3 linked regions of the Alligator mississippiensis genome follow. The protein of the gene in region 1 purifies or fractionates together with the protein of each later gene. This does not show direct contact. Links are inferred from orthologs where the notes say so. Each region holds a gene or a part of one and is shown on either strand. Other genes may lie near its edges. The genes, in order: SRSF3, LARP1 and NCBP3.

Region 1 (9,631 bases):
AAAGGGTCCATGACAAGACACAAGAGATACCAAGTGGAAAAAGTGAAAATGCGCTCTGTGTAAATATTGATAATGCCATTAAAGTGCTACATTAGAACTGCATATTTGTGATTGTCATTTTTAAAATGCCAGTGTGTTTAGACTTAAAAAAATAACCTTAGCTCGGCCCAGTTCATCCCAAAAAAGTAATTGTTTTAAGTTTTGAAAACTGTTAGTAAAACCATTTAAAGGTGATAGGATTTTCTGCAGGAAAAAGCTAAGTTTGTTAGAGCTTCATTAAGAATTTAGTTTCGCACATCACATGCATATACACTGCCTTTTTACTTTTTGCTCTATTTTAAGATGTAAAGTTTCCTTATCACCCTTAAAAGTTTTTCAAGCAACATATGTACGTTACCACTCAATTATGCACAGCCAGCCTTTGATTGAGAAAAGTAATTACTTATAAGCCGCTTACTCCTTATTTTAACCAGCAGTAAACTGTATAAGCAGGAAAAACTTACTAGTTTTTGGTTTCAACAAGCTAGAAATGGTGAGGTGAGGCTGCCGGACTGACTGCCAAGAAGAATTTGCTGAAAAGGTTTTGCCAGATGTTGCGTTGTATTTAGTTGGTTGGCGAAGGGGGTGTTGTGGATTTTTCCTGCTTTTTTGTTAGCCGAAGGCTGCTGCTGTAGTTGTTGTGAAGACATTTGGTAAATAAACAGCTGAGCTGATTGGCCGGGAATGTGTGGGCGGTCGAGGTGGCTGCTGCCGATTTGGTTAAGGTTGGAGAGAAGGCTGAGAGAAAACAGCATGCTCGGGAACCAAAGGGCGGTGCAACCTGACGACTGGCCATGCCTGGGTCATGTGAAACGACACCAGCCAAGCTGAATGGGGCGCGCTGGTCACATGACGCTGAAAGGGCTAGTTGACTGGCTAATGCAGACTCAGAGGGTGGTGAGAAGAGACATGATGGTGACTCTGTAACGGGTTCATTTTTATTAATAGATGGACCAAAAAGCATAAAAAAAATGAAAAACAAGCCATCAGTACAACCATCTATTAGCTAACAAATACTCCTATTGTGTTATTTTTTTTTTTTAAAAAAAAAGAACAGCAAAAGGGATAAGCTTGAAACCTTGCCTTGTGAGGACTTCACTCACCTGCAATAGGTAATTCAGTCCTGTAAAAACCATGCTGTAGGTTTGATGGAAGTGCACAGTTAACATCCAGACAAGCTAGCCTGGATCCAAGAATGTGCCCTACTTTAGAACTGGGTTCACAAAACAAGTGACAGATTCGCCACATTTATGTTCTAACGCTTCAGTTAGAAATTTAAGTTATATTTAAAATGATTGTTGTACATTTAAAGTAGGCTTACTTTATGAATAAAGTTGCCTACTTGGCAAGTATTTAAATTGTGCAAAACAAAATGGAGAATACATTAGCCTGGAAAAGCCTAGGTTGCTGTATGTAATGTTTGCCATTATGGAGTAAAGGAAAGGACATAGCCTAAGTTGAAGTAAGGGCAAGAAAGGGAAAGTGTGACTAGAAGATGAATAGATCTTAGGACGAAAGAGGATAAATCCAGGAGAGAGGGCGCTGACTATCAACTTGCACAGTGACCTAAGGACAAAAGCCAACATTCAACACAACTTGTATTCACCTCTTTTTAGAGTGTTTGGAATCTCCAAATTAAGAGCAGATGTATGTTTCCCATCAACATGCTTTAAAAAAAAGCCTGCTTCTATGATGCTAAGTGGTAACAATGCCAACAACTCTCTATGTATGTACTCTGACCCAGTGTACCTGCGGCGAGGAGGAGGACTTCTTCTGCGATAATCATCTCGAGGGCGCCTACCCCATGAAGGAGGCGGACCACGGTTCCGACTCCGTTTTTCACCATTGGACAGCTCCACCCTGACGCGGCACCCACACAGCGTTCTGAAATAAACATCAGTACTTATAAAAGCTTATAGGAACAAGTTTGTCTACACACAAAAAAAGCGAATAAGATTACAAACTCATCTGAATGTCTTATTTACATGATGAATATTTGAAAGTCAGACAGCTGTAGCAGTCTGAAGTTAGAAGGTAGAGTGGCACCTTATTGACTAACTTGTTCTGAGGGATCTGTGCTTCTATAGGCAACAACTTACAAGATTATGCTCCTGAACAAATCAGTCTTTAAAGGTGCCATCTCCCCCTACCTTCACTTGAAAGCTGGGTATACTCTATGCACATCAAGTCTGAGCTAGCTGAAATCAAGGTACTGCCATTTAGGAATATTTCCAAAACTGTGCTGTTAACAGTTAAGAGAAATAAAATACTGTTTTACAGACTTTTTAATACTTCAAGATTCAGCTGCATACTAGCTCTGTAGCACACACTATGTAATGAGCTGTTCTTAAAGACATTTTAAGATTAGATCCCTGTTGCAAGGATCACAGAAACACAACTTAGTGTTTTAAAGTATCCAAAGCTTATTTTCCCCAAACTGAAAGTTCCCTTTACTCAAATTAGCAGTTAGGTATCAGTTTCATGTCAGATGTGCAAACTGCAAGAAGCTACCTATAGAACAGGATCAATTAAAATATGCACCATCAAAGTTAAGCTCTTATGTTATAAAGCTGTTTAATTACAAGATTTCTGCATCCCTAATTGTCTGGTTGCTTTTACCAATACAGGATGTTGAACACAAACTCAGATTTTTAGTTTTAAGTGACCTGCGTTAAGATATTTTTACCTTCCATCTAGCTCTCTTACTGCATCAGCTGCATCTCGTGGATCTTCAAATTCCACAAAAGCGAAGCCGGGAGGGTTTCTAGCCACCCACACGCTCCGCAGTGGCCCATAGTAGCCAAAAGCTCGCTCCAATTCAGTTTTGTTGCCATTGTTGCCAAGGTTACCAACATAAACCTTGCAGTCCAGCGGACACGAGTCTCGATGCATCACTACAACAAAAACATTTCAGGTCAGATATCGTTTCTTTCTCCTTGCAGCTATAAAAGTGCAACCGTTACACGCTTGTGGGCAGGAAGGACAACACGACATGATCTTAGGCAAAAGGATGAGGCTCCCCTAGCTTGCAATTCATGAGAAAACTGTGAGCGGGTCCTACTCTACCTACAGGCCTGTTAAGTGGGCTCCTACCTCATCCCACTCGCAGCCTTGAAAACACAAAGCATTTTTACACACGCAAGCACCAGTGCTCGGAGCTGTGAAAAGCACTCAGTGGTGTGACGCCCGCAGTCATACAAGTGGAAAAATGCATGTCAGCGCTGAGAAAACGGCAGCGGCACTTTTGAACTGAAACACATTGGAGGAGCCTTAGTTCAAAAGTGCATCCCTGCTGCTTTCTGTGCACTGACGTCCATTTCGCACATGCCGCTGTTTGCCGTGTACAGCAGACTCGATTAATCGAGCATCCTCTGAAGTGATGAATCTCTGGTGCATGGGGGAGGAGGGCAGTAAAGTAGTCAGCGCATAAATGCCTGCTAGGTCCCATCTGGAAATGCTCCATTGTCTTCACTGGGAAGCGCAGTGAGCAGGAAAGCCAGATGCCCACCTTCTCCCAGGAATTCACACAGGAGTAAGGGAAGGGGCTTAGCAGAGAGGGGGAGGGGCTCCAGTCCTTCCCAGGAAGGGAGCTCAAGCTGCCCACCCCAGCCAGCGCTGCGCATGCGCACACGCCCACGCTGGAGTGCAAGGGCGGCGCCAGTAGGGGGCATAGGCTCCACTCGTGCGCATGCGCGGACGCCTCCATTGTTCCCGCGCGCCGAGGGGGGAGGGGCAGGACGGCGCCATCCTCGGCGGGAGCAGCGCCCGCCAGGCCCGCAGGCCGAGACGGCCTCCAGCCGGGCTGCGCCGCCGCGAAACACCCGCCCTCCGCGCTCTTTTTCCCACGGCCCGGCCGGGCCCCGCCGCCCGCACAAAATGGCGGCGGGCCTTTGTCTGCCGCCGGGCCCGGCGCCTGCGTCCGCCCCGCCTGGGCGGGAGCCCCGAGGAGGGCCTCACCGATTCCGGGGGAGAGCGCGAGAGGGGATCGCGCGCGCGCTGCTACTTCTTCGCCGCCGCCTCGATCCCGCGCGGGCCCGCACTCCCCTCGTCCTCCCTGGACAAAATGGCGGCCGCCGCCTGCCCCGCCCGCACTTATATCGCTTCGGCCCCGCCCCACGTGACGCCGCGGCGCTCCAATCACGGCGCGCGCTTCGAGTGACGGACGGCTCCGTGGAACCCGCCCAGCCGGGCCCTTCCCCCCACCCGGGCCTGCACCATCCTCCTGCCCCTGCACCGCGCGCGTGGCGGGGCGGGCACCTCGCGGGGCAGGAGCAGGAGCAGGAGCTGCCGCAGTGCTGCCACGAGGGACAGCGTCACTGCATCCAGAAACTGGGCACAGGCCTCCTTGACCCAAGCAAACAGGGCAACTAAAACAGCCCAGTCAATCGGGAGCGAGTTTTGATGTTTTGGAGGGGCTGCTCCAACTTGTCGTGGAGCCTGATTTGGCCTGAAATGAACTTTTCCACCCGGAAAAACGTATGCGGCTGTTTGGCTACGACGCTCGGTCTAAACCGGCATCCGATTCCGCTTGGCGGGCGTCCTTATAACCCACGAGAGTTGCTGTGTCGGGTCGTCGAAAACGTTCGCGGTCGCCGTCTCGGGTCGGTCTCGCTCAACGCTGGGTTTCTCCAGAAACGATTAAGAGCAGCGCTACGCCGGGGGTCGCCTGGACCACCCTCCGCCGCTCCTGCGCAAGATGAAGTTTCATTTCTACCTGCAAGCAACGTTACAATCTTGAAAGCTTGCAAATAAAGCCTATTTTTTTTTGCAACCATTTAGTTGGTCTCATAAAAAGAGACCACTGACTTTAGACCAACATGGCTCCACCTTTATCTCTGAACCACGGTGTTCAGCTTTTTCCCCCTTCTACCCCCCACCTAAGATTTAGAAATGTACATTTTAAGTTAAATTGGAGGTGCTGATTGATATAACCCTGGGCCTTCAGAAGCTTACAGAACACCACAAATACTGAGGGAAAATCACAAGAGGAGGGAACTAATTGAATCTCAAATCCTTTGGTAGGGTAGAGATTGTAAAACATCTTGCCCTCAAAGCAGAAAAGAGAGAGTGAGGGAGAAAAAGAAGAGAAATCCTAGCCTACGGCCTACTCTGCCCTGTGGAAAGACCTGCAACATCTGTGGATGGCTCTGTGATGCAAGGACTGGACTCTTAAGTCCTCTTAAGACCCACCAGTGAACCGTAATAGAGATCACCCTCAAATTGGGGGTTTGTCAATGACCTTTGGTAGGCTGTATTATTTCCTTTGCTTTACTACTGGGGCAACTGAGACAGGGAGAGGTGCAGTGATGTATGCAGATCCTTTAGGCCGGGGTGGGCAAAATGCAGCCCGCGGGCCATTCTATCCGGCTTGCGGGGCCCCTAAAAATTTAGAAAATGAATATTTATCTGCCCCTGGCTGCCTGCCATGTGGCCCTCAATGGCTTGCCAAAACTCAGTAAGCGGCCCGCCACCTGATATAACTGCCTGCCCCCGCTTTAGCCCAAGAAAATGTGCCACAGAAAAATGACACTGTGCTCGGCAATGTGAATAGAAGCAGCAGTGACGTGGTCCCAAGCCTCAGTGACATAGTCCCGATCCTTACACAGCTCAACTACCTAGGGCAGCGGTTCCCAATCTGTGTTATGGGTACCACCAGTGGTACACAGACAACCTGTCAGTGGTACTTGTTAACAGATTTATTATAATTACTTTACATGACAAAAATTTACTTAAGGTTGAACTGAAAAATTTGCTGGTGGTACTTGAGGTTGTATTGTTTTAAATTGACGGTGCGTAATCTGTCAGAGTTTGGGACCCGATGACCCAGGGTGTATAGGAAATCTCCCATCCAAACGTAGATCCTACTTAGTTTTTATGAGCTAATGAGAGCCCAATCTGTAATAAAGACTGATTATACAGGTCAGGTGATGATCAGAATCACCTCATGTTCTAAAGCACTGATTCTCATCTGGGGTGCTGTGAAATCCTTTTAAGGGTGCCACAGGGTGCCACCCAATATTAACACTGTTAGGTATGCAAACACCTACACACGATTCATTAAATAAACCCTAAAAATTACAAATAGGAATGCATAGTTCAAAAACATTCTGACCTGTTTTGGTCTTTCTGAGTTCTTTGCAACAGAAGAATTGCTGTATTATTTTTATTTTTTAAAAAAAAGGTGGAGGGTTGCCACGAGTTTAAAAAGATTGAAAACCCCTGTTCTAAAGGTTTCTCAAAGGAGGGGGAAATACCACTTGATCCAGGTAGAAGCCTCATGGTCTACACTAATTAGATATTTCTGTCTAATTTATTGTATACTGCACTCTTTTGAATGCTCACAGGCAGCTATTCTGGATTTCCATGTTCCAAGCCAATTCAGCCAAATCAAGTCCAAATTCATGAGTCAGTCCAGAACTATAAGTGGCCCCACAATCGGCAAACATCCTGCACCCCCACTAGGGGCTTCAGATATTTCCAATGTCTTTGGCAGGCATCCTACGTGCAGGGCTAAACCCAGAAGCTTGGGGTTCGGATGCCCCCAGGTTTTGCTTGCCCTCAGCCATATGGCCGCAGGAGCACGCTAGGGAGGAACCTCCCATTTCCATAAAATGGGCATTAAGCCCCAACGCCTTGGTGGGTACTAAACCATGCCAGAAGAACAGTTATCTCCCAGGGGCTTAAGGAAAACTGCTTTCTTGGACCCAGATACAGGGCAGCTATTCTGGATCAATAAGCTGAATATAAGCCAACAGTGTGCCCTTGTTGCTAAGAAGGCTAATGGCATCCTGGGCTGCATTAGTAGGAGCATAGCTACAGATCAAGGGAAGTGATTATTCCTCTCTATTGGGCACTGGGGAGGCCACATCTGGAGTACTGTGTCCAGTTTTGGGCCCCCCACTACAGAAAGGGTGTGGACAATTTGGAGAGTCCAGTGGAGGGCAAAGAAAATGATTAATGGGCTGGTGCACATGACTTACGAGGAGAGGCTGAGGGAACTGAATTTATTTAGTCCGGAGAAGAGAAGATTGAGAGGGGATTTAATAGGGGATTGGACTACCTGATGGTTGATGATTGCAAAGAGGATGACACCAGTCTGTTCTCAGTGGTGGCAGATGACAGAACAAGGAGCAATGGTCTCAAGTTGCAGCAAGAGAAGTTTAGGTTGGATATTAGGAAAAACTTTCTCACTAGGAGGGTAGCAAAGCCCTGGAACCAGTTACCCAGAGAGGAGGTGGAATCTCCATCCTTGGAGGTTTTTAAAACCTGGCTAGACAAAGCCTTGTCTGGGATGATCTAGTTGGGGCTGGTCCTGCTTTGAGCAGGGGCTTGGACTAGATGTGACCTCCTGAGATCCCTCCCAACCCTTATTTTCTATGATTCTATGATCTGGTGCGGGGTGAGATTTAGTGGCCCAGTCATAGGCCTGGGATTCAGGGAGTCACACTCATACAAAGTAATACCATCTGCAGCTTGGGATTGTTTACTTGGTCCCTAATTTTCAGAAGTACTGAGCATCTAGAAATCTTATTATACTGGAGTCGCAAGTGCTCAGCATCTCTGATAATCTGGTGTCAAAAGGAAGATTATAATATTCCTTTAGCCTGATTTACCACTTCTCTACTTCAATTTTAGACCAAGGGAAATTAGTCTGTTAAGGAAAAGAAGAAGGGAAGGGTTCTTTTTGGGACATTACAATAGGATTTGGAGTTAGGTTTTCAGGCCCCAGGATTTAATTATTCACAGGACCCAGACATTATTTTAGTGTCCTCCCCATCATAATAATTGTATGAGATTATTTCCTTATTGCTTTTCTGGACCATACAACTATCCCCTTGCTAGCCCAGGTAGGAAAGAGATATCACAGAGTAACTGTAAAAAAATCAAAAAACATGGTACAGCAACAAATCTGGCCATTGCCTTTTACACCCACTGCTAAAATAATCTTAGTTTAATTGTTATCAAAACAGTGCCCGTACTGTCTCTGTGTATGAGATGTATATGGGGCTGCTGGTTGTAGGTGTGTTGCTCTAAGGACATAGGTAGACAAGGTTCTTTGGGTAGACGTGATCTCTTTTATTAAACCAAGTAAATAGTTAAAAAAATTGCTCTTTGCAAGCTTTCAGGCACAAACCTTCTACCCAGGAGAGCACACAAAACACTACCAGTCTCTCCCTATGCTGGAAGAAGGGTGCTTGTGCCTGAAAGCTTGCAAAGAGCAATTTTTCAAACTATTTACTTGGTCTAATAAAAGAGCTCACGTCTACCCAAAGAACCTTGTCTGAGATGTGTGTGGGGTGATATAAGTAACTCACAGCCCAAATTGTGGTATCCTCATACAAAAAATTTAGTACTTGGGTTATGCGGTTGGGTGTGGTGGTGTGAGATTCTTTATAGCCTTAGGGCTTACTGTGAGGTACCTCTGATCTCTCAGTCAGGATGGGGAGGGGAAAGTGGGGGAATGGAAAGCAGCAAAGCAAAGCATTAGCAGTTGCTTCACAATCAACAAAGGGAAATGGACTCTATTTTACCACCCATGTGTGGTCAAACAGTTTCCTCCCGACAGGGCGGGTGTTTTCTGTCTCTCTTGCTCTTCTTTTTTCTATATGCACTCACTGTAGGTTCAAGTGCAGAAGTTAAAATCATTTCGTCATCAGTCTTCAAAAATATGTACAAAACCCCCATGAACCCAATGGGATTCCTTCCACAGACATGCCAAGAGAAATTTCCCCCAGATGCCAAGAGAAATTGTATCCTCCCTGAAATAACATTTTAAGGAATCCTTTCTCCTATTAACCCATCTCCTCTCCCTCCTTCTGATAAAACTTGTGAGGCTTGATATTTATTTCCATCAAGGTCAAGTCCAGACTCTGACAGATCAGGGAGGAGAAAAGAGAGTGGAAGAAGCAGAAAATGGAAGTTGGAAGAACTGTGATGAATTTGCCTTAAGTAGCAAGACACAGGCAGGCTTCAGGATTTGTAAGATAGGAAGCATGGTCTAGTAGATAGAATATTAGCTCTACATAGGGGTGTACCTGAGTGCACCTAACCGGTGGGTCTAGGCCCTATGTGTTTAATGAATTTGATGAAGAGAAAGCAAAAGTTTAACAAGTGCTAGTTTAATATTGATAAGAATTGATGCTGTTCTAGAAATATGTGACTCGTATCTGAAGTCCATGTTTCTCATTGCAGGACCAAGGGCTAGACTTGCTGTCTTAGGTACTCATGCAGTGCTCATCACCATGGTATCTGAGCATCTCACAACCTTTAACATACTGAAGCAGATAATGCTTGATGTTAAAGGACTCTATGGTTTCTTTCCTATTTGCCCAAGTCTGATATTGACCCTTTCACTAACCTATCTTGACTAGGCTTAACATGAAATGCAATGTTACTTTTTTGGAGAATTTCCACTTCATTTTCCTCTGCTCAATAGCATTCTCATTGCCTTTTGATTCCCCGTTCCATAACATTCAAACACATGCATGTTTTGAACCTTGGTGTACTAAGGTCCAACAGGAGCAGAAGTCCAAGATAGAAAGAAAACCTTAAAACTGAAACAAAATTTAACGAACAAGAAATCATGGCACTC
Region 2 (9,694 bases), on another chromosome or scaffold:
GTGCAGCCACCTAAGAGCTAACAAAGCGAGTACAAGGTGTTCTAGATGTAATCTTAGGTCCCGGTGTTCTCCTCCTGCCCAATTCTCTGGAGACGCAGTGCATTTGAAATGGGATTTCCAGCCACCCATGGAAGCACAGAAGTGCAAGGTGTTTCCTTAGGGAAACATTCTGCTTCCTACTATAGGTACACTAAGGTGGCAGGGCTTCTCCTGCTAGTTTGGCTACTGGCTTGGTTCATTTACACTGCAAGATGTGCACATATAGCAAGCGTGTGTACCAAGGGGAAACAGCTCCCTAGCTCTTGCTACCAGACCAACAGGAAGAGAAAAGCAAGACCCCCCATCCCCAACCTTGCCAGCACCCCTGGAGCTTGGTAAAGCTTCCAACTTAAAACTTGCTTATTTGAGAAACGTTACCATTGCGCTAATCTAAAAGCCCCCCACGAATTCCCTTGTACCTCCGACTCTAGCCAACACCCTCCGACCGAAATGCAAAGCGGAGCTAGCCTCTTTCCTCCACAGTTTTGACTTTCTTTTCTTAGCATTGCAAAGAGAAACATTCATTGGTTTCTTCTGTGTGCTCTCCTCCACTTTCTTTCCTTGAGTTCCTGTGTGGTTCAATCTAACACAAGTGAGGGCTGTTTTGCTTCAATACAGCCCTCAGTCCTAGAAATGCAGAGGGTAATTTAAATCAGCTCTGAAGCTCAGTCCCAGCTGGAACGTGCCTCAAATGTGCTAGGGCAGGTGCACTCTCGATTCACCTCCAGAGGCCCTGGTAGAAATCCTACCTTCAGCAAAAAACAAAAATGAAGCTGAGACTTCATGCTCCTGCCTCTGGCCCCAGGTATGCGTCTCTCAAAGCCATAGCATGACATGAGACCATTAACTATTTCCACCCAGGCAAGCTCTTGGCCCAGAAATGGCCACGGTGCCACAATTCAGCAGTCAGGTACCAGTCAGGGAGCAGTGTGTCCAGAAGTCTGCACATCTGCTCCATGCCATTAGTCTGTCACTTCATGAGGGCTACTCTGGAGACAGATCATTAGAGCCCCAGTCACTACCCAAGGGCCTACCTACTGCTTTACACTTTGTGCATCAATTAAAATGACCACTTACGGGCTCAGGCCCACTGCAGGTCTGGGGTCTGACAGGGTCAGGGCCTGGCAGCGCTCTGCACTTCCAGTGCAAAGCCCAGTTCCAGGAACGGCTCCTGGCCTACTTGGGGTATTCTGAAAAAAAATATTAAAAAGCTTTTGCTGCGACTTGCCCCATTTCGAGCAGGTGGAAAAAATTCAAAGACCCTGCTGGAGCCCACGCAACACACGCCTAGACGTTTGCTTAGCCCAGAAGCCCGTCTCCCCAAATCCACAAGCTTCTGCTTTAAGCAATCCTCAACCAAAAGTAGTTTGAGAAGTTCTCTCTCAATAGGAGAAGCCTCCAAAGCCCAGCAGGAAGCCCAGGCAGGTCTCAGCTGTGAGTCTGCCTATCCGAGGAGCTTGTGACAACCGTGTTTATTTTACAAACAGTTTTCTCTCTCCTCTTGGTTAAGAGGCAGCAGAAGAAACAATGCCCCAGAGCAAAGGAGCAGGCTAATATTGACAAGGCCGGCATTGTGAGAACTACGGCCACCTCTGCCAAGCTCCAGAAAAAGGCACCGCAACTCAACTGCACTATTTAAACACCTTGGAGAATAATACTGCGACTCTTCGACAGAGCGCAATGGATTCCTTCCGACAAACACCGTCTTCTTCATTTAAAAAAGACAAAAAAAGCCTGGTGTGCCATCTAATACTTAACACAGACTGGATCCTTCCCAAAGTCTACTGTTTTGTTCCTCTGAAGGGTTTCCCCCACTTTGTAACCAGAATATTCCTTGCTGGGTGCTCCTGACAGCCTGAAACATGAAGGCACAAGAAAAGACAGATAGTCAGAGCAGACCTTGGAAATCAGTCCATCCCATTTGTACCGGAAGGATGCTGCCCTGTATTTTTAAAAAAGGTTTAAGACAAATACTGCAGTTCACGAAGGCTGCCCATAGAAAACAACACCGGGAATACACCGAAGAGAGAAGACGACACGACCAACCTGCTTCAGCAGCCGGGATCCAGAATGTTTATACAGCACTTTAAAAACGCTGGCAGTCTTTGGCTCCTCTCTAGGGAATGGAGAGGGCCCAAGAAAGCAGCATGATGAAGCCTCATCGCTGCATGAAGGCGTGATAAAGCCCGCTTCCCATCATCCACCAAGACGTAAACCCAAGACGGCAAAAAAAAAAAAAAAAAATCTCGCTTGGATTTTGTCGAGACAAGTCATTTCCCTATCATCGCCTGGGATCCGGGCGCGCCACAGTCTCCGCATGGATATATATTTTTTGGGCAACGTTAATTTATCTTCTGTATATTATCCCATGCAAACCAAACACCCTTGCACCCAGATACTGCAGAGCTGTCCATCTTCCACGGATCAATAACTATGATGATTCATCATATTAGGTAGTACTAACTTTTTGGGAAAGGGAAAAAAAAAAAAAAAGAAAAAAAAAGGCTAGCACGCTCACTGCTGCTGTCATAGCCGGGAAGGCCATTTCAAGCGTGCAAGGGAAGGCGAAAGAGGCAACAAGCCCCCTCGCCAAGGAGGCCACGATATAAAACTCCCCAGGATTTATTTTCTTAGTTATCGATTCCCTTCATTTTATCAAACAGTTCCCCGAGGGAAGTGATCTCTATGAAAGCAAGCAAGAAAATGGAGGGTTCAGCATTTCCAGCCCTGGCCTACAAGCAGCGGTGGGTGAAAGATGGATGATTGGGGGGGGCATGCCGGCAAACCCCTGCTCTCACACCCCTTCAACCCCCCTCCCGGTTCTTAAAGGAAGGGTGAAGTAACGCTGCAGAGGCGCCATTGCAACACGTGGGATTACAGAGCCGACAGGGATTCCCAGAGGAAGAAGGCACAAGGGAGTGCTGGACCCCCCAAACCAACCTCCCCTGCCTGCCCACCCCCCTACCCCCCAGCCAGGGCTGCCGCCGGCCCCCAGCGCTGGCAAGGGCACGGAAGGGACAGGCTTGCGGCCTGCATGCCAGCGCCGCCAAGGAGGCAGGAATGCAGGGCCCTGCTGCAGCGTGGCCCACGTGGAGGGGGGAGCAGGGCCAGACACACGTGTGGGGCCGCGGCAGGCGGGGAGGGAATCCCCCCTTCCCCTGGGGGCGAGCCAGGGCAGGGCAGGGCGTGGGGGATGGGCAAGGAAGAGCAGACCCTCCCCTCCCCCACTCCCACCCCTTTGGGGCGCGGCTCTCCCCTCCCACCCCCTCCCCCCCGGCTCGGCTTTGTTGGGGGGGGGTACACCCCCGATCCGCACCGGGAGCAGGCCCCACGGTGCAATCGCATGAGGGAAGAAACCACGTTGCCTTCGCGGCGGCGGCATTCTGGGAAGGGAGGAGGGGAAGGGAGGCCGCGGCGCACACGCGGGGCGAGCCAGCGCCGGGCCCCGATCCAGCCTGCGGCCTGGGACGTCGGGGCCCCGGGGCTGGAACGCTGGGACCGGGCCGGAACGCTCGGGGGTCGGATGGAACGCTGGGACCGGGCCGGAACGCTCGGGGGTCGGATGGAACGCTGGGACCGGGCCGGAACGCTCGGGCCCGGATGGAACGTTGGGACACGGGCGGAACGTTGGGACACGGGCGGAACGCTCGGGCCCCGGGCGGAACGCTGCGACCCGCGCGGCGGAAGCCCCGGCCGGGAGGCGGCTCCCGCATGGCCCGGCCGCGCTCCGCCCTCGTGGCTCACCCAGGCCGCGCCGTGCCCGCATGACACGTCGAGTGTCCCCTTCCCCGGGGCCCGCGGGACACACCCGGGAAGCCTCCTCCCTCCCCCCCCCCCCCCGGGGCCCGGCACCCACCTGGCGGGGACTGCCCGTTGACGACGGCCGGGGCGTGCTTGGTCCAGGGGTTCACCTTGGGCGGCGGCGCCTCGATGAAGTCGCGGCGGGTGGCGGCGGCCGGCTCCTCGCCCGGCGGGGCGGCTGCTGCTGCGGCGGCGGCGGCGGGGGGGGGCTCCGTGTCGGCCGGCCCGCCCCGCTCTCTCTCCCGCTCCGGCTGCGGCTCCTCCGGGGGCGGCGGGAGCAGCAAGGCGCCGCCGGGCAGCAGCAGCGCCTCCACCTCCGCGGCCATTGAGGGGCTCCGGCTGCGGCTGCCCCCGGCCCCGATCCCGCTCCGGCTCCGGCTCGGCTGCAAGATGGAGCCGCGCGGGGACCACGCGACTGCCGCGGGAGCGCGCTCCGCTCCCCACCCCCCGGCCCGGGGCCGCGCGCCGGGTGCGGGAAGGACGGACGGACCGACGGGCGGGCGGGAGCGCGCACGTGCCTGATGCAACCCGCGGCGGGGCGGGGACAGGGGAGGGACTGGGCCGGGCCCGGCCAGGAGGCGGCGGCGGCCGGGCCCGGGCCCTAGAGCCGGCCGCGCCTGCCCCTGCCAGCAGCTAGCGCCCCCTGGCGGCTGCCCCGGGGCCCGGCCCCTCCGCGGGGCACCCCCTGGCCGCGGGGGAGAGGAGCCCTGTGCACCTGCTCATCGGGGCTCAGTGCTACAGCTGATTTCTTGCATGGCACCAACAAGCTTTTTTGCAAAAAATAATAAAAAAAACCCCTTTCATTGCAAGCTTTCGGGCACAAATACCCTTCACCTAGTGGCAAGCGCTGCCCTGACCCCAGCGCTGAGATTTCCATTGAAAAACCCAACACGGCTGGAGCTGGGGGGAAAGGGAAATGAGGGCAGAAAGTCCTGCGGGCTTTCATCTCGCCCCCCGCTCTGCCTGTATTGCTGCACAGAGGCAAGGAGCCGCTTTGCTCGGGACAGTTGCGTCCTTGGGATAACATCACAACGCAAGGCAGGCATTAAGAGGCCTGTCCCGGGTGGCGAGACCCGAGGACGAGCGTCCTGCGTCGTCCAACGTTATCCCGGTGACGCGGAGGGCCCCGTCCAGAGATGGCCCAAAGAAATCCTTGCCTCTCGCGCCATTTCTGGACCGTCACGGCTACAACCAGGGCTTACAACCAGCATCGGCTCACCACCAGCGTCTGACGTACCTGGACAGGCATTTCCAACCGGGCTGGATAATTTGACTGTCTGGCACCTGTCGACGGTCACCGAGCCCCTGCCAAATTCACACCGTTTCCATACTCCCGAATGCAGTTCAACGAGAAGGCAAAAACGACCTAAAACAGCAAAAGAGTAAATGATGAAAAGCCCCAAAACATGACTGCGTGCTGTGCTGTGACATTGATACTTTAGAAATAACTCCGATTCTGGAAGGCGTCCTATATCCACGAAAAGGCTCTTGCACTATCACACCTTCTAGATGTACACGGCAATCCTCTACCCCTAGACGGCATTAGCTTTTGTCAAGAAGAACTGAAATTTAACGTCCCGTGGGGGCTGCATCTGTGCAGCGAGTCAAAAGGCTCCCAGGAACACGGGAAACGCGACAAGCTGCAATAATGCACTAGCTCCGGGGTGGTGGCGGCGTGCGGAGAAGAGACGGAAGGGTGGGATTTTATAACTTAGCTGTTAACAAGATAGAGGAACTGAGGGAAAAAGCATGGAACAAGCACGGGAAAGAAGAAACCAATGGGACCTCCTTGGCCCTGAAGGATGAGTGCTGGGCCTAATCCAGAAGGGCAGCAGGTCTAACAGGTCCATGGAGGGTGTTTCGATTGACCCACCAAGGACCCGGCACTGAGAGCATCCTTCCACCAGACCTTAGCAGCACAGGCCGTCCAAAGAGTTGCAGGTAATATGCTCCCACTCCACACATGAGTCCATCGCAGTCTCCCACCTGAGCACAGAACGGGCCAGGACGGTGGTTTTGGGAGCAAGGTCCCAAAACAAACGGGACACGAGGACGTTGCAGGACTTGGGCCTGATGGAAGGGAGAGACGGGCAGTGGTGGCAGCATGCAACTTCCTTGCACTCTTCCTACAAACCGTGACCCCAGTTCAGGGCAGCGTGTGCACCCCCCAAGGCACCCCCGATGGCAGTGCTTCCCAACCTTGTCTGCAGCATGACCCCATTTACGGCCCCATTTCCTCAGCATGGCCCTTCACCCCCAACCCCGTGACCCCATAGTTTCATAGTTGGTAGGGTCGGAAGGGACCTGAGCAGATCATCAAGTCCGACCCTCTACCCTGGGCAGGAAAGAGTGCTGGGGTCATCCGCTGATGTGACCCCATTTGGGGGCGCGACCCAGAGTTTGGGAACCGCTGCCCTACTGGGAAAGAGCAGGCCCTGTCAAAGTCCTCTCTGAGAACCAGACAGGTGACACCTTCATCCGAACACCATCTTCAAGCTGGCTCGCATGTGCAAACCTGACTGCCCAGCTCAAAACCAGCCAGGCCAGCACATCAGTCAGAGTATAGCAGTGAGGAGCACTTGCTGCCCCTTTCCGATGGGGCCGTGCGCCTTCCCCCCCATACCAGCCCACTGACAGCACCTGTAAAACCTGCGTCACATATATGCCACCCCCTGAGCTTGACATGAAGCAGTCAGTCACCTGCATGCTCTACCTGGGTGCCATGCCGCCATGGCCATCTCCAGGGACTGGGGAAGATCAAAATATCTCAGGAGCTAATTCCCAGCAAGATAAAAGAAACAGACTTTGCTGTGATTCTCGCCACCACCTTCAGTCTCCTGTAGGACTTACTGGGCAGGTGTAGGCACAAATGACATAGGATCTGAATATCAAAACCCAGGGGCAAGCAAGGAGTTTCCCGCAGCACTTAAGTCCCTTGCTCTCCGGCCCATGGACGCGTGCACAGACATCCGTGTGACTGCCATGCTCCAACCCGCGCCACACTCCGTGCATGCTGCTGCGTGCAGGAACGCACAGCCGAGCCTGCAATGGCGAGAGGACGGACTTAACGGCCTAACAGGTTTTCTCATTTAACTTCTCCGAGTCAGTAACACCCACGCGGAAGAGTACACAATGCATGCTCAGACTAGCATTTTATTTCAGTCTCTTCCTCATGCAGGGGATGCGCAGAGGACGGGAGATTAATGGCCTGACAGCACCTCGATATTTTACGCTGTCGTCTCCATTGCAGGCTGTGGTTTCCAGGGCGTCGGTTACTCAGCAGTTCTGAACGGCGGCTGATTTTTCGCGTTATGGCCTTCCTACAGCAAGGGCCTTCCAAGCTGAGGGCGTTTCACGAGAGTTTTGCTGCATGCACACCAGGTAACCTGTGTCCAGCGACTGTTTTCAGAGCACCTTTGTGTGTCTAAGTGATTTCCCCCGGGGCTCTGATCATGCCTAGGTGGGTGGCCCCCGCTACAACCTGCTGCTCCCATCTTAGTGGTTGTGCTAGAGCGACGCCTCCAACAAAAGAATTAAATCTACTTTTTTATTCCCCTCCAAAGTAACCTTTAGCAAGGCTTTGTGAGAGCAAGCAGGGTGAGGTGCTGGGGAAAGGGAATGCCTGACGCTGCAGTGCTTGTCGCGGGAAATGGGACAGATGCACTGTCCCATCGTTACTGCTGAACCGCGTGGGACTCACCCAGTAGCCCAGGGCCACGCCGCCTGGCGAGCTAGCAGCACGTCTCCTTTGCCACACCTCTGTGCCGCTAGCACACGGGCAGCACCAGTGTCTGGGACTGCCTTGCTTTAGAGAACATCTGCCAAGTTAACAGAGATTCTCCAGGCCTGCTCGAAGGGTGCATCTGGAACCAAGAACAGCGCTCTCAGACACCATTAGTGTGCGAGCCAATGCAACCTTGATGCCAACATTTGAGACTGCGGGTGAAGAGAAAGGTGGTGAGGACTAAGTGAATCTCCAATTTAAGTATGGAATGACCCCAGTAACCAGGCTGCAGAGGCCAGGAAGCATCCTTGCCTGCCTTTTAAGGCCTCTTTCTCTCCCATCCCTCTCCCTCCTCCCCAGATCCTCTCACTATTCCCCAAGTCACTGAGAGAATTGTGAAGCCCCTGTATGTTGTAGCCTCACAGATGCCAGAGAGACTTCCAGTGTCTATCCCAGGCTTGGGAAGGTGGTAGACCTGCTGTGGATACATACCTGGTGCTGGACGTCCAGAGCGGAGCAGTCAGACAGAACAGAGATCCTGGTGAGATCCTGGAGCTCCCTCACCTGTGCAAACAGCGCTGGGGGGAGGGAAGGGGGACTCACCTGGGCCAGGCTGTGAGCGTGCTAGGCAACAGCCTTCCCAACAGCCTCGAGGCTGAAGGAAGACAGGCCCTTCACAGCAACACAGGCAGCAAATGACACAAACTCCAGTGCATTAAAGAGACAGGCTTGGATGGTGACAACCGACCTCTGCCTTATGCCCCGGGTGGGGTGAGAGGCAGAACGGATGGGATGGTCACGGCATGAGAGAGCTGGGCCCAGGCAGAGAAGTCTGGCTGCAGATCCAGCGTGAGCCTCTCCCGCGGTCTAGGGATGCTCCAACACAGGGACCTGGCTCGCACGCTCTCCAGTTCAAATCAAATCCTTGCGTGCCAAAACCCCCATGACGCCGGCCTGCTCCACCCCTCCCGCAGCGTTCACCCACATTCCCCAAGCAACGTGGGTTGAGCGGGCTGTGATGAAAAGCTTGGAGAAGTGCAGCAGCAAGGGGATGGTTTGAGACCTCAGGCGCCCCCTTTGCACACTGACTAAGGCTCTTGGCTCTTCTGGTCTCCTCTCCAGCACCTCCACTCCCCAAAAGCAAGCGTGCCTGGGGAGGGCTCCGTCCACCTCTCTGCAGGTGAGCTGCCTTCACAGCAGGCGCAGGCAGAGCCAGGGTAAACACGCCAGCAGCTCCTAGCAACCAACACACAGCTCCAGCCCTGCCCCAGCTGTCCTGGGGACTTCCCTTCCCTTCCCAGACCTATTGAAGCCGGAGGGGTCAGTGGTGGAGCCTGACGTGAAGCGGTGGGTGAACAAGCTCAGCCCGGCACGCCTGGAGCCTGGCGGTCCTCAGCATCCTGCAGCCAGAAAGCCCGTGCAGCGGCTAACACACCAGTGCCCCGTGACGGGGGCGGTCAGCCAGGATTCGGGACCTTGCCAGGCTGCGGTTGTTAAGAGACACTGATGACATGAGCCAGGCATTACTTGGACGCAATCCTGCGTGTTAACAGACCGTGGCCTCAACAGCCCGTTTCCCTGAACACAGCAGCAACACACAGCAGGCGGCTGCCTTGATTGCAGCACCCCCCAGTCTGCCTTTCAGCCAGGCCTCTGGCATAAGGAGCTCTGCCTCTGCGTCCTCTTAGGGATACCCTCTGGCTGCCTAGCGACTATTTCCCTCTATGTCTGACACATACAGCTACAGCCAAACCATATCCCCAGCCCTCACGTTTGCACAGAAATCCCTGTCTGCATGACCAGGCCCTTACGCAGCCTCCCGCTGCAGCAGCGATTTCCAGCCACCTTCCACCATTGGAGGTCCTTCATTATTTTGTCCACTGCAACCCAAGGGAGGGTGGCTAGCATCCCTGTCAACTTCAACAAAGACTGCAAGGCCTGTAGGTCGAAGACATGCTTGCTGAGAGCTGAAACCACCTCCAAAATCAGCGCCGATGCTCAAGCAGCACTCACCCTCCACAGGTATGAGGATGAGTGCAAGAAAATCCTCCCAACCCACTGCCACAAATACAGCTCTTGTGTTGCTCTTAGTAGGCTACCTGAAGGAGGATGGTGTCAGCAGTCCTCCCA
Region 3 (9,488 bases), about 26 Mb from region 1:
AAGTAATTCCATTTCTTCCAAAAATCGTCTATTCCATCACTTTATGATCATTTAAAAAATTATTTCAAATTAAAACTATATGAAAACTAAAGAAGTGTAAAATACAAGTTACTGTTCTTAGCAAAGCCCTTCTTTGTGCAGCATCTCTTATGGAGTGAGGTAGTATAGCTATTAAAACTAGAGAGTCCACTTTTCAACTCTTTGCTAAAGTCATGGCACTTTCTGTACCTTTCTTCATCATGTCTCGGTCCAATGCCACATTCCTTTGGGCAAGATTCACCTCAGCTCGAAAATGAAAACGCTTTGCTCTTTGCTCTTTTTTCTCAATTGCTTCCTGAAAAATACAAGAGAAATACGCAGTCAGAAAGGAAATGTGTGCATTGTTCTAAACAAGTTCAACAGCAAGATGAGATGCTTATAACACAAATCAAGGAAGTGATACTTGAAGATTTTATTAGTTATCAACAGGCCTTCTTGACTCAAAATACAACACAAAACAGATGCAGAAACAAAAGAATTTAAAGAACAACTGTGGTTCAATTATGGGTGCACAAAGTGATTTATTTTCTTGTGGGTCGAGCAATATAATAAGAATCATGATGCTTTGTCTGCCACTCACTCTGCAACTCTGCAAGTTTTTAAGCTCTATGATAACCATGTTTATCTATCAGCAAAATAGGTACACAAAGCCAAAGTTCATGAAGCCCTCTCTTAAAGCAAAGGTTTCTTCCATCTGGCTACGCTAAACTTCTATTTTAAGATTACTGGTTTGCTTTCATGGAAAAACAGAAACAAGTGAGATGATACAGATCACACAGAGCTCTCAGGCAATTGAAAAAAAATTGGCAACATATGGCTTTTGGGAATATTTTTTATGTTAGCACTTCTCCAATACTAACTGGAGAGCCAACAATAGAAATCTTGTTCTGGCTGGTAATCCAAGCTATTTCTGGGGAGCTCATTAGCATAGTATCTAAGCAGCAGGGATACAAAAGATCTTATACAATCTCTTAAGAGAAACATTAGTTTTCTTTCTTGGGACCGATTCAAATTAATAGGATATTAACAGGACATTTTAAGCAGCTTTCAATGGCATGAACTAAAATACAACTCAGTACGTTAGCAAATGCTTAAGCAAGAATTGCCCTGATTGATATAATTTCAGGATAGATTTGCCTTGAAAATCTCTGAAAACTGATTAAAAAGTCAAACTTTTCTCATTATACAGAATCACCTCTCTTTCCCCACAGTTATTAATGTTGCATATCATTAAGGAATATAACAAAGTAGGAAGATTTTTTTCCTTGATAATTTAACATTAAATGTCTAAATGAACTGCAAGCATCCAACGCAAAGAAGGTAGTGACTAGGAACTAGAAAAGTTTTTCAATCCTAAACACGAACTTCTGGGTTTTCCCACTGCAACACGAGACTATAACTCACGCATCAGCACTGCTGTTGCAGGGGTTCAAATTTTGCAGTGCTCTGAAGATATAAAGGCTTAAATGGTACTGGAGCACTACACAGATAAAAGGTGAAATGATGCATCATATGGAAGTGCCAGTGCTTTAAAATTATGTCACATAGCCAGGAGACCAGCTGCAAGTTTAAGCTGTAAATGGTCCACAAAATAATGCCCTTAGACAGCGCCAGCCAATGGAGCCCAGTATTCCTGCCAAACATTTGCTTTCCCTTGTCACTTGCACAATAAGAAAAATTCAGCTGACTTGATTCAAAGGGCATTGCGATGTGGAGTGGCACCACCGCAATTCCAATAAGAGTCTCCTTGTTTTTTGGCAAATGCAGAGAGCTTTTAGAAACAGTATTAGACATTCTTGGTGGAGTACAAAAGCTTTGCCCACAGCTAAATCTTTCACTATACAACCATAAAAAAAAGATGCCTGACTCAGGGTTTCCACAAAAAGCTTGTCTACTTTCTAGATTCTGTAAATTACAAATGCTGGAGTATAAAAGAGTCATTACAGCATGTGAAAAAGCTCTAGAATCTTATTGTCTTATCTCTGGCTGTTAAAAAGGGACTACGGGCCCCTGAAAGCCACCACCTTAGGAAGCATAGGAAAATGCTTCCTATTCAATTAAGTAATACAAAATTTTAAAAAGGGATCACACTTGACAATATTACCTTGGAGGTGACGTCTATTCCTGTAATGAAACTTCCAGCTTTGTTTTCGTATCTTCTGCTAGTGTCCTACAATAAAGCAAAATTACAACAAATGCTGGATGACGGCTAAACGCAGCAAGCTTGCTAAACTAATAAGATCTGACCTAGTAGTCAGCTCTGAAAGAAAAAACACATCCCTTTTTATTCTCCTGACTCCAAGCTAGTGCGGCATCAACCCACACAGGCACAATTCTCACCAGGGTCAATGGAGTTACAAGCAAACAGAACGGATCAAAAATCATTACACTTTTTTGCAAAGATTCACTCTATTTTAGCATCTTAGATATTTACTTTTAAAATATCTGCATTCACAAGGGTGGAATTCACTCTGCTACAGCAAGGAAGTGGAAGTGATTATGAAACATCTTTTCCGTCTCTAATTTCCATGATTTTTTTCCGCGGCATCTCAAGTACGGTTTCCACCCAATTCCAACCGCTCAAACGGGCTTCATGTAATCCGATTACATTAAAAAGGATACGTTTTCAGTACTTAGTTATCAAAGGGGAAAAAAAGTCATCACAAAGTCAACTTTTGCACTAAAACTAGCATTCATTCTCTTGCCACCGCTGCTTGAACCATGTTCCCCAAAACCTCAGCGTCAGTCACCGCCCCGCTTCTCTTCTGAACAAGCCTATTATGACCAAAGAAACCCATAAATGACACGGTGACCTGGAGGGGAAAAATAAAAAGGACTTTCATTCCTATCGGTTAGTAAAGCAGCATTCACAAAGCGCTGCGCTAACCCAGGGGTGGCAAGCCCTAGGGCATGCGGGCCACGAGGGACAAGGGCCGACCAGGGAGGGAGCAGGGAAGCCAGTGACAGGCAGGGCAGGGAGCAGAGCGCAGAGCCACAGATCAGGCAGCAAGCCCAGGGCAGGGAGCAGAGTGCAGATCAACAGGTAGGGCAGGAAGCAGAGTGCAGAGCAGCGGATCGGGCAGAGAACCCAGGGCAGGGAGCAGAGCAGCTGATTGGGCAGGAAGCCCAGGACAGGAAGCAGACAGCAGAGCAGCGGATCGGGCAGAGAGCAGAGCAGCTGATTGGGCGGGAAGCCCAGGGCAGGGAGCAGAGCGCAGAGCAGCTGATTGGGCAGGGGAAGGGGGTCAGTGACGCAGTGCCTCCCCCCGAGCACCGGCGACCCCGCCCCCCGGTCTCGAGGCGCGGACGAGTCCGCGGTGCCCCGGGAGGGGAGCGCAGCGCAGGCCGGAGCCCCCCGCCCCCCCCGCGGCCCGTACCGGGAGCAGCTCCCGCAGCGAGCGCCGCACGGGGATGGCCTCCAGCTCCCCCTCCTCCACCTCCATGGGCTCGGGCTCCGCGCCGCGCGCCTCCGCCTCCGCCTCCGCCGCCTTCACCGAGATCCGCAGGCCCCGCACGGCCGCCATCGCCCCGCCAGGCCCGCCCTCCGCTCACGGCCAGCGAGGCGCGCCGGCTAGAGCGTCGTCGCCGCCGGCCTCCAGGCACGCCGAGACGGGATTGGCGGACAGAGCGTCCCCCCGCCCCGCCACGAGCATAGAGGCGCGCGCTGTGGGGACAGAGCGTCCCCAGCGTCATAGAGGTCGGGGGATAGAGCGCCTCTGTAGGTCCTCCCGCCTGTGGTGCTCCCTGCGGCGGAGTGCAGGCGGCGCCTCGTTCCCGCCGCTCGGGCCCGTGTCTGCCCCCTCGCACTGACACGACTCAGGGCAGCGAGTCCAGGCTGCGCTCTAGTGTGGGGCGCCAACGCCTCGTTTCTTGGTGCTGCCCATTCCTCGCCGGCACCGAAGGCCGGAGCGGTTGAACCGAAGCACCTGCCGTTTCGAAGCCGAGTCCCGATTCTCGAACGACGATAAATCTCCGAATGTGCTCATCCCTTCCCCCCCCCGTGCGGTTGCGTGCGATGTGTCTTGCTGCATAGCTGGACTTTCCCCAACCTGCGCTAAAACTTCGGGAACTGAACCGAAGCCACGTGAAATCGATAAAACGACTCTCCTTGACTTCGACGGGCGTTCGATCGGGCCCCCGTCCAGACCCAAACCTGCTGAGCTCCCGCGTAGGAGACGCAGGTGCTTGAACACGCTCGAGGCCCCCCCAGTTTGTGCCTTGCACTCACGACCGTGCCGGGGAGCTCGACCTCGCACTCGCGACCATGCTGGGGAGCTCAACCTCGCACTCGCGACCATGCTGGGGGGCTCAACCTCGCACTCATGACCGTTCCGGGGAGCTCGATCTCGCACACACAACCATGCCAGGGAGTTCGACCTCGCACTCGCAACCGTGCTGGGGAGCTCAACTTCGCACTCGCGACCGTGCTGGGGGGCTCAACCTCGCACTCATGACCGTGCCGGGGAGCTCGATCTCTCACACACGACCATGCCAGGGAGTTCGACCTCGCACTCGCAGCCGTGCTGGGGAGCTCAACTTCGCACTCGCGACCATGCTGGGGGGCTCAACCTCGCACTCACGACCGTGCCGGGGAGCTCAATCTCAAACTCACGACCATGCCAGGGAGTTCGACCTTGCACTCACAACCGTGCTGGGGAGCTCAACCTCTCACTCGCAACCATGCTGGGGAGCTCGACCTTGCGTTCACAACCGTGCCGGGGAGCTCGATCTCGCACACACAACCATGCCAGGGAGTTCGACCTTGCACTCACAACCATGCTGGGGAGCTCAACCTCGCACTTGCAACTGTACTGGGGAGCTCGACCTCGCACTCACGACCATGCTGGGGAGCTCGACCTTGCACTCACGACCGTGCTGGGAAGCTCAACCTCACACTTGCAACCGTGCTGGGGAGATTGACCTCATACTCACGACCATGCTGGGGAGCTCGACCTCACACTCATGACCGTGCTGGGAAGCTCAACCTCGCACTTGCAACTGTGCTGGGGAGCTCGACCTCGCACTCACGACTGTGCTGGGGAGCTTGACCTCGCACTCATGACCATGCTGGGAAGCTCAGCCTCTCACTCACGACCGTGCTGGGGAGCTCAACCTTGCACTCGCAACCGTGCTGGGGAGCTCAGCGCTACGTGCTGCTGATTCAATGGTTCGGTCGTGCAGCTGCCGCCGAGATCGAATCGTGTTTTGCTCATGGCCTCAAGACCAGAAGGGTAGGAAAGCTGAGATCTTATTTTCCCTCCTCCTCCGTGAACTTTCACGCGCGTAACATTTCTGTTTCTTCTGACGCCCTGGAGATTTGTTTCTTCGGAAGCCCTTGCTCTTGCTCGTGTTGTGCGTTTTCATGCTTTCCGTGAGAGAGACCCACCGTGTCGGCCGACTGGCATGCGTGGAGTCTTTACAATTTATCCTGTGTGCATCGGGTTTGCAAACACGGCGTTCGTGCTTGCGTGTGGACTCCAGGCAGATTCTGCGTATGTGGTATCAGTACTGAATAAGTGACTGTAGGCCTTTGGAAAGGGAGGCTGCAATTTGTTTTTGTGTAAAGACTCCTGAGAAAGAACAGTTAAAAATATGAAGTCCAGAGCCGCTGGTAGCAAGATAGTTTATTTGACCACAGGAGAGCAGGAAGAAGTTTCTCATGGAGCTCATCAGCTCCATGATCTTCTGGCCTGAAAAGTGGCAGGGGTTCTTTATACCAGGGGCCTGTCTCTCCCTTTTCTGACTGTATTCCTGCTCTGTACATGGTCCGTTATCTCCCTCCGGGGAATTGTTACGCTCACTTCTGTTGTGTACTTGTTGGATGAGAGTCGCTGCTGAGCTCTGAATCACTGCTGTTTTGAGTTTTGATTCAGTTGTTCTTTGGCTTTTGCTTTAAATGAAAGGACCCCTATTTACATAATGGAAAGCTGCTGCATTCCCTGAGCTGGTTACAAGGCAGCGGCGTGACGGCATGCTGCTCCAGCCTGCAGAGTGAATAGAAATAAGCCACATGTTTCTGAACCGTGCCGAAACCTTGGGATCTTTTGCAAACCTCCTACCAGCCCGGGTCTAAACTGTTCCAAATTCACCAGGGTTTTGCAGCCGGGGTTTGGTTTGGATTTAGGGCACCTTTACCAGGAGTAGGCTAAGTCACACCTCTCTCCAACAACTGCCAGATACTTACTAGTATGTCACGTGTGTGTTCATTTGCTGGGGCGTGTTTAAGTGAATTGTTAGTGCATGAAACCTTGCTAAATGGCACTGAGTGGCTTCCCAGAATCTGGGATGTATTTGGTAGCCGTATTGGTGTGAGACAACCGAGTTGATCTAATAAAACTTATCCTTTCTGAACCAAGAGTTTTGCATTCCCAGACTCTGAACATTTTAACGAGGACTAAATTGAAAAAAAATTCTCCCATCTCTGTGTTTGTTACCTTTAAGGGTTTTGTTAAAGGGGAAACTAATAAAAACAACAACTGCTGCAAACCCAAAACTTGTCCTAAGAGGCTTTGACTTGTCTCCCTGCTTTTCTGTGTGCTCATGTGAGGAAGTGCTGGTGCTATAGTTTTTCACCAGAGGGAGCTCTTGCAATAAAATGTCTTTGCTACAGAATGAAAAGTAAAGTGTAATCTAAATGCCCAAAGCCTCAGGTATAGTGTCTGGATTAAGCTAAAAGCAGGGGGCAAAGGGAGCCATGGGGTAACAAAAGGAGTTTGAATGCACTTGATGGAAGGAGTCTTTTGGTAATGATCTGAATTGAGTTTCAGAGGTGAACAGTTTGGCTCTTGTGGCACAGAACATAAAGCTCCCGTGACTCCGTGACCAGAACAGGGACGTGTTAGTCACTGCAAGGCTGCTTTGTCGTCCTGCCTGGTCCTGATGACTCAGTGCAGGACCCTGGCATGGCTGCCCTTCAAATGCAGTGAATTGCACCAAGAATGAGCGCGGCTGCCGCTCAGACAGGCGTTTCTGCACTGGGAGGACAAACCAAAATGAAGTGGGCTGAAGGGTTTGGGAGCAGATATGGATCAGCTGCTACCTGGGCTGTACTCGTCCCACCCAAAGTAAGGCAACCTCTCTCAAAACTGAAAGAATGGCCGGCTCTCAGGAGGAAGGATGGTCTAGTGGGTAGGGACTTAGGCCACAAGAGAAGGCCCCGCTCTGTGACAGACTACTCATACCCACGCTACTCGGTACACCTGAGACAGTGAGCCTCAGCAGTGCAAGCTCATGGGTGGCTCTGTTTCCTCTTGGGAGTCGGTGCTGCGGCATGGGAGTGAGGACATGTGGCGTGGGTCACAGCAGTGCTCCTGGGTATGGCATTGGAGTAATATCCAAATGCCCTTGACCTCTCCACGTCTCATTTTCCACTGTGAAATGGGGATAAGAGCACTCCCCTACCTTCCATGGACGTTGTGATGGCGAGTATATTAAAGATTCAGCAATAGGGCAGCAGAAGTGCCTACAAGAGGTAGATGGATTTTTGGTTGTAGCCATGTTGGTCTAAGGACATAGGCAGGCAAGGTCCTTTGGGTAGATGTGATATCTTTTATTAGACCAGCTGAACAGCTGGGAAAAAAAGTTAGATTTACCTGTGACATGGCAAGAATTTGCATGTCAGCCTGTCCACGCAAACTTAACTTTCCAAGTTCGAGAGATGGAGACAGAAAGAGAGAGCTGAGGGAGAAATTAGATTAGACTGGCTACTCACTACTGCAGCTGTCTGTCACATTCAGGGGCGTCTGTGTCTAGGAAGATTTGTTGACCGCTGGTATGCAAAGGCAGCACATTTTTTATATATGCATTCCCTTATGGAAACTCCTCATAGAATTTATCAGAGCTAGAACAGAATCCTTTAGAAATGTAACACAGGTATCTAGAAATGCTTCTGGAAACCTCAGGAAATATCATAGGGCTCAACACGGTTTTTGACCCATGCCACAGAATTTTAAGGAAGGGCTAGGAGTCTTCCTTAAATTCGAGAAAGCTGAGAACTGTCTATTCAGCTCTATGGGACACTTCCCAAGGGTTTGTGGGGCTGCCCTGTCCATATTAGTTATAAATGCTTTAATTTTATGCCCTGGTCACTGAAGAGATGTCAGTTAGTGAAATGAATTGGAGAGGGAGAGGCCTGTTCACCACTGCCTCTTCTTTAGTCTTGGACATGGGAGAGGCAATGCTGAGAACCAGTGAAAAGCAAAAGCAAACACCCCACACTTCATACAACCAGGAGAGGAGGCCCCATACAGCAACTTGGCTTCCACACTGTGCTTCTGGACCTTGCCTGGGATCAAGGCCATGTCAACAGTTTTAAATCATGGCCTCTAGGCTTGACTCTCCCCAGGTTGGGGACAGGCTTTACTCTGGGGCTGGTCCTGGTGCTGCATGGGCTGGGTGCACAGCACCTTGTGAAATCTGCTGCTGGGTGTGATTCCCTGCAAAGTTCTTGGCCTCTGATCTGCTTCCCTTGAAGTCACCAGCCAAACTCCTCCAGGCTTCAAAGCAGATCAGCTCCTCTGCAGCGAGGATGGAACTTGCCTCAGGTCTCTGGGACCTGGCGACAGGGGAGTTCAGGCATACTTTGAAGCCTCAATCTCCACAGCGGTCACTGCAAGGAAAATGAAACTCCTTCTACTTGGAGGAACGTGTGATTTTTAATTTGAAAAGCAGGGTGCTTACTGTAACCAGTCGTGCTTACAGCTGCCATCCTCACACACACACACACACACACACACACACACAGGCGCATGCTTATAGAAAGGCACAGCCCCGATTTATGCGGGGTCCCACTCTTAGTTACCCACCAATATGTCCACACTGGAGTCACTGGCAACATTGCAGCTTATGTAATGTAATGACACTCAAGCTAACTTCAAATGAACTAGGTCAGGGATTGGGAGCAGTATAACTGTGGCAGCCCAGGGCTCAGCCCAGGCTCCAAAACCTATGGCAGAAGCTGAGGTTGATAGCCCTTGCTGGGGCGTTTATACACATGCAGCAGAGAGGCACTTCAATTAGCGCAGCTCCCAAGAGCTGTACTAATTACAAGTGCCTGAAGCGTCACATGTATCAGCGTCCTCACACTGAAAAATGGTGGCAGGGGGTGCTTGGAACTAAAACTGGTTGTTCAACATTTTCATTAATGATGTGGACATTGGAGTCAGAAGCGGACTGGCCAAGTTTGCCGATGATACCAAACTTTGGGGGAGTCACACCTGAGGACAGGCGGGTGATCCAGGCTGACCTTGACAGGCTCAGGAAATGGGCAGATGAGAACCTGATGGTGTTTAACACTGAAAAATGCAAGGTTCTCCACCTTGGGAAGAAAAACCTGCAACATCCTTATAAGCTCGGCAGTGCTACGCTGGCTAGCACTACGGATGAAAGGGACTTGGGGGTCATGATTGACCACAAGATGAACATGAGCCTGCAATGTGATGCTGCGGCTA

The links.
Region 2: the proteins of SRSF3 (region 1) and LARP1 purify together in Homo sapiens (co-immunoprecipitation; 3 studies listed by BioGRID and IntAct, with this or other methods). This does not show direct contact. The link is inferred for Alligator mississippiensis from reciprocal best matches to the Homo sapiens genes SRSF3 and LARP1.
Region 3: the proteins of SRSF3 (region 1) and NCBP3 purify together in Homo sapiens (co-immunoprecipitation; 3 studies listed by BioGRID and IntAct, with this or other methods). This does not show direct contact. The link is inferred for Alligator mississippiensis from reciprocal best matches to the Homo sapiens genes SRSF3 and NCBP3.

What each region holds. Positions count from the first base shown.
Region 1 is NC_081837.1:35,605,816-35,615,446, reverse strand, and holds the start of SRSF3 (serine/arginine-rich splicing factor 3), read right to left. Parts: upstream 4,099-9,631; 5' UTR 3,997-4,098; intron 2,934-3,996; 5' UTR 2,932-2,933; coding exon 2,726-2,931; intron 1,924-2,725; coding exon 1,789-1,923; intron 1-1,788. UniProt on the Homo sapiens protein: Splicing factor, which binds the consensus motif 5'-C[ACU][AU]C[ACU][AC]C-3' within pre-mRNA and promotes specific exons inclusion during alternative splicing.
Region 2 is NC_081832.1:76,975,506-76,985,199, reverse strand, and holds the start of LARP1 (la-related protein 1), read right to left. Parts: upstream 4,368-9,694; 5' UTR 4,167-4,367; coding exon 3,896-4,166; intron 1-3,895. UniProt on the Homo sapiens protein: RNA-binding protein that regulates the translation of specific target mRNA species downstream of the mTORC1 complex, in function of growth signals and nutrient availability.
Region 3 is NC_081837.1:9,609,445-9,618,932, reverse strand, and holds the start of NCBP3 (nuclear cap-binding protein subunit 3), read right to left. Parts: upstream 3,591-9,488; 5' UTR 3,564-3,590; coding exon 3,417-3,563; intron 2,210-3,416; coding exon 2,144-2,209; intron 335-2,143; coding exon 229-334; intron 1-228. UniProt on the Homo sapiens protein: Associates with NCBP1/CBP80 to form an alternative cap-binding complex (CBC) which plays a key role in mRNA export. NCBP3 serves as adapter protein linking the capped RNAs (m7GpppG-capped RNA) to NCBP1/CBP80.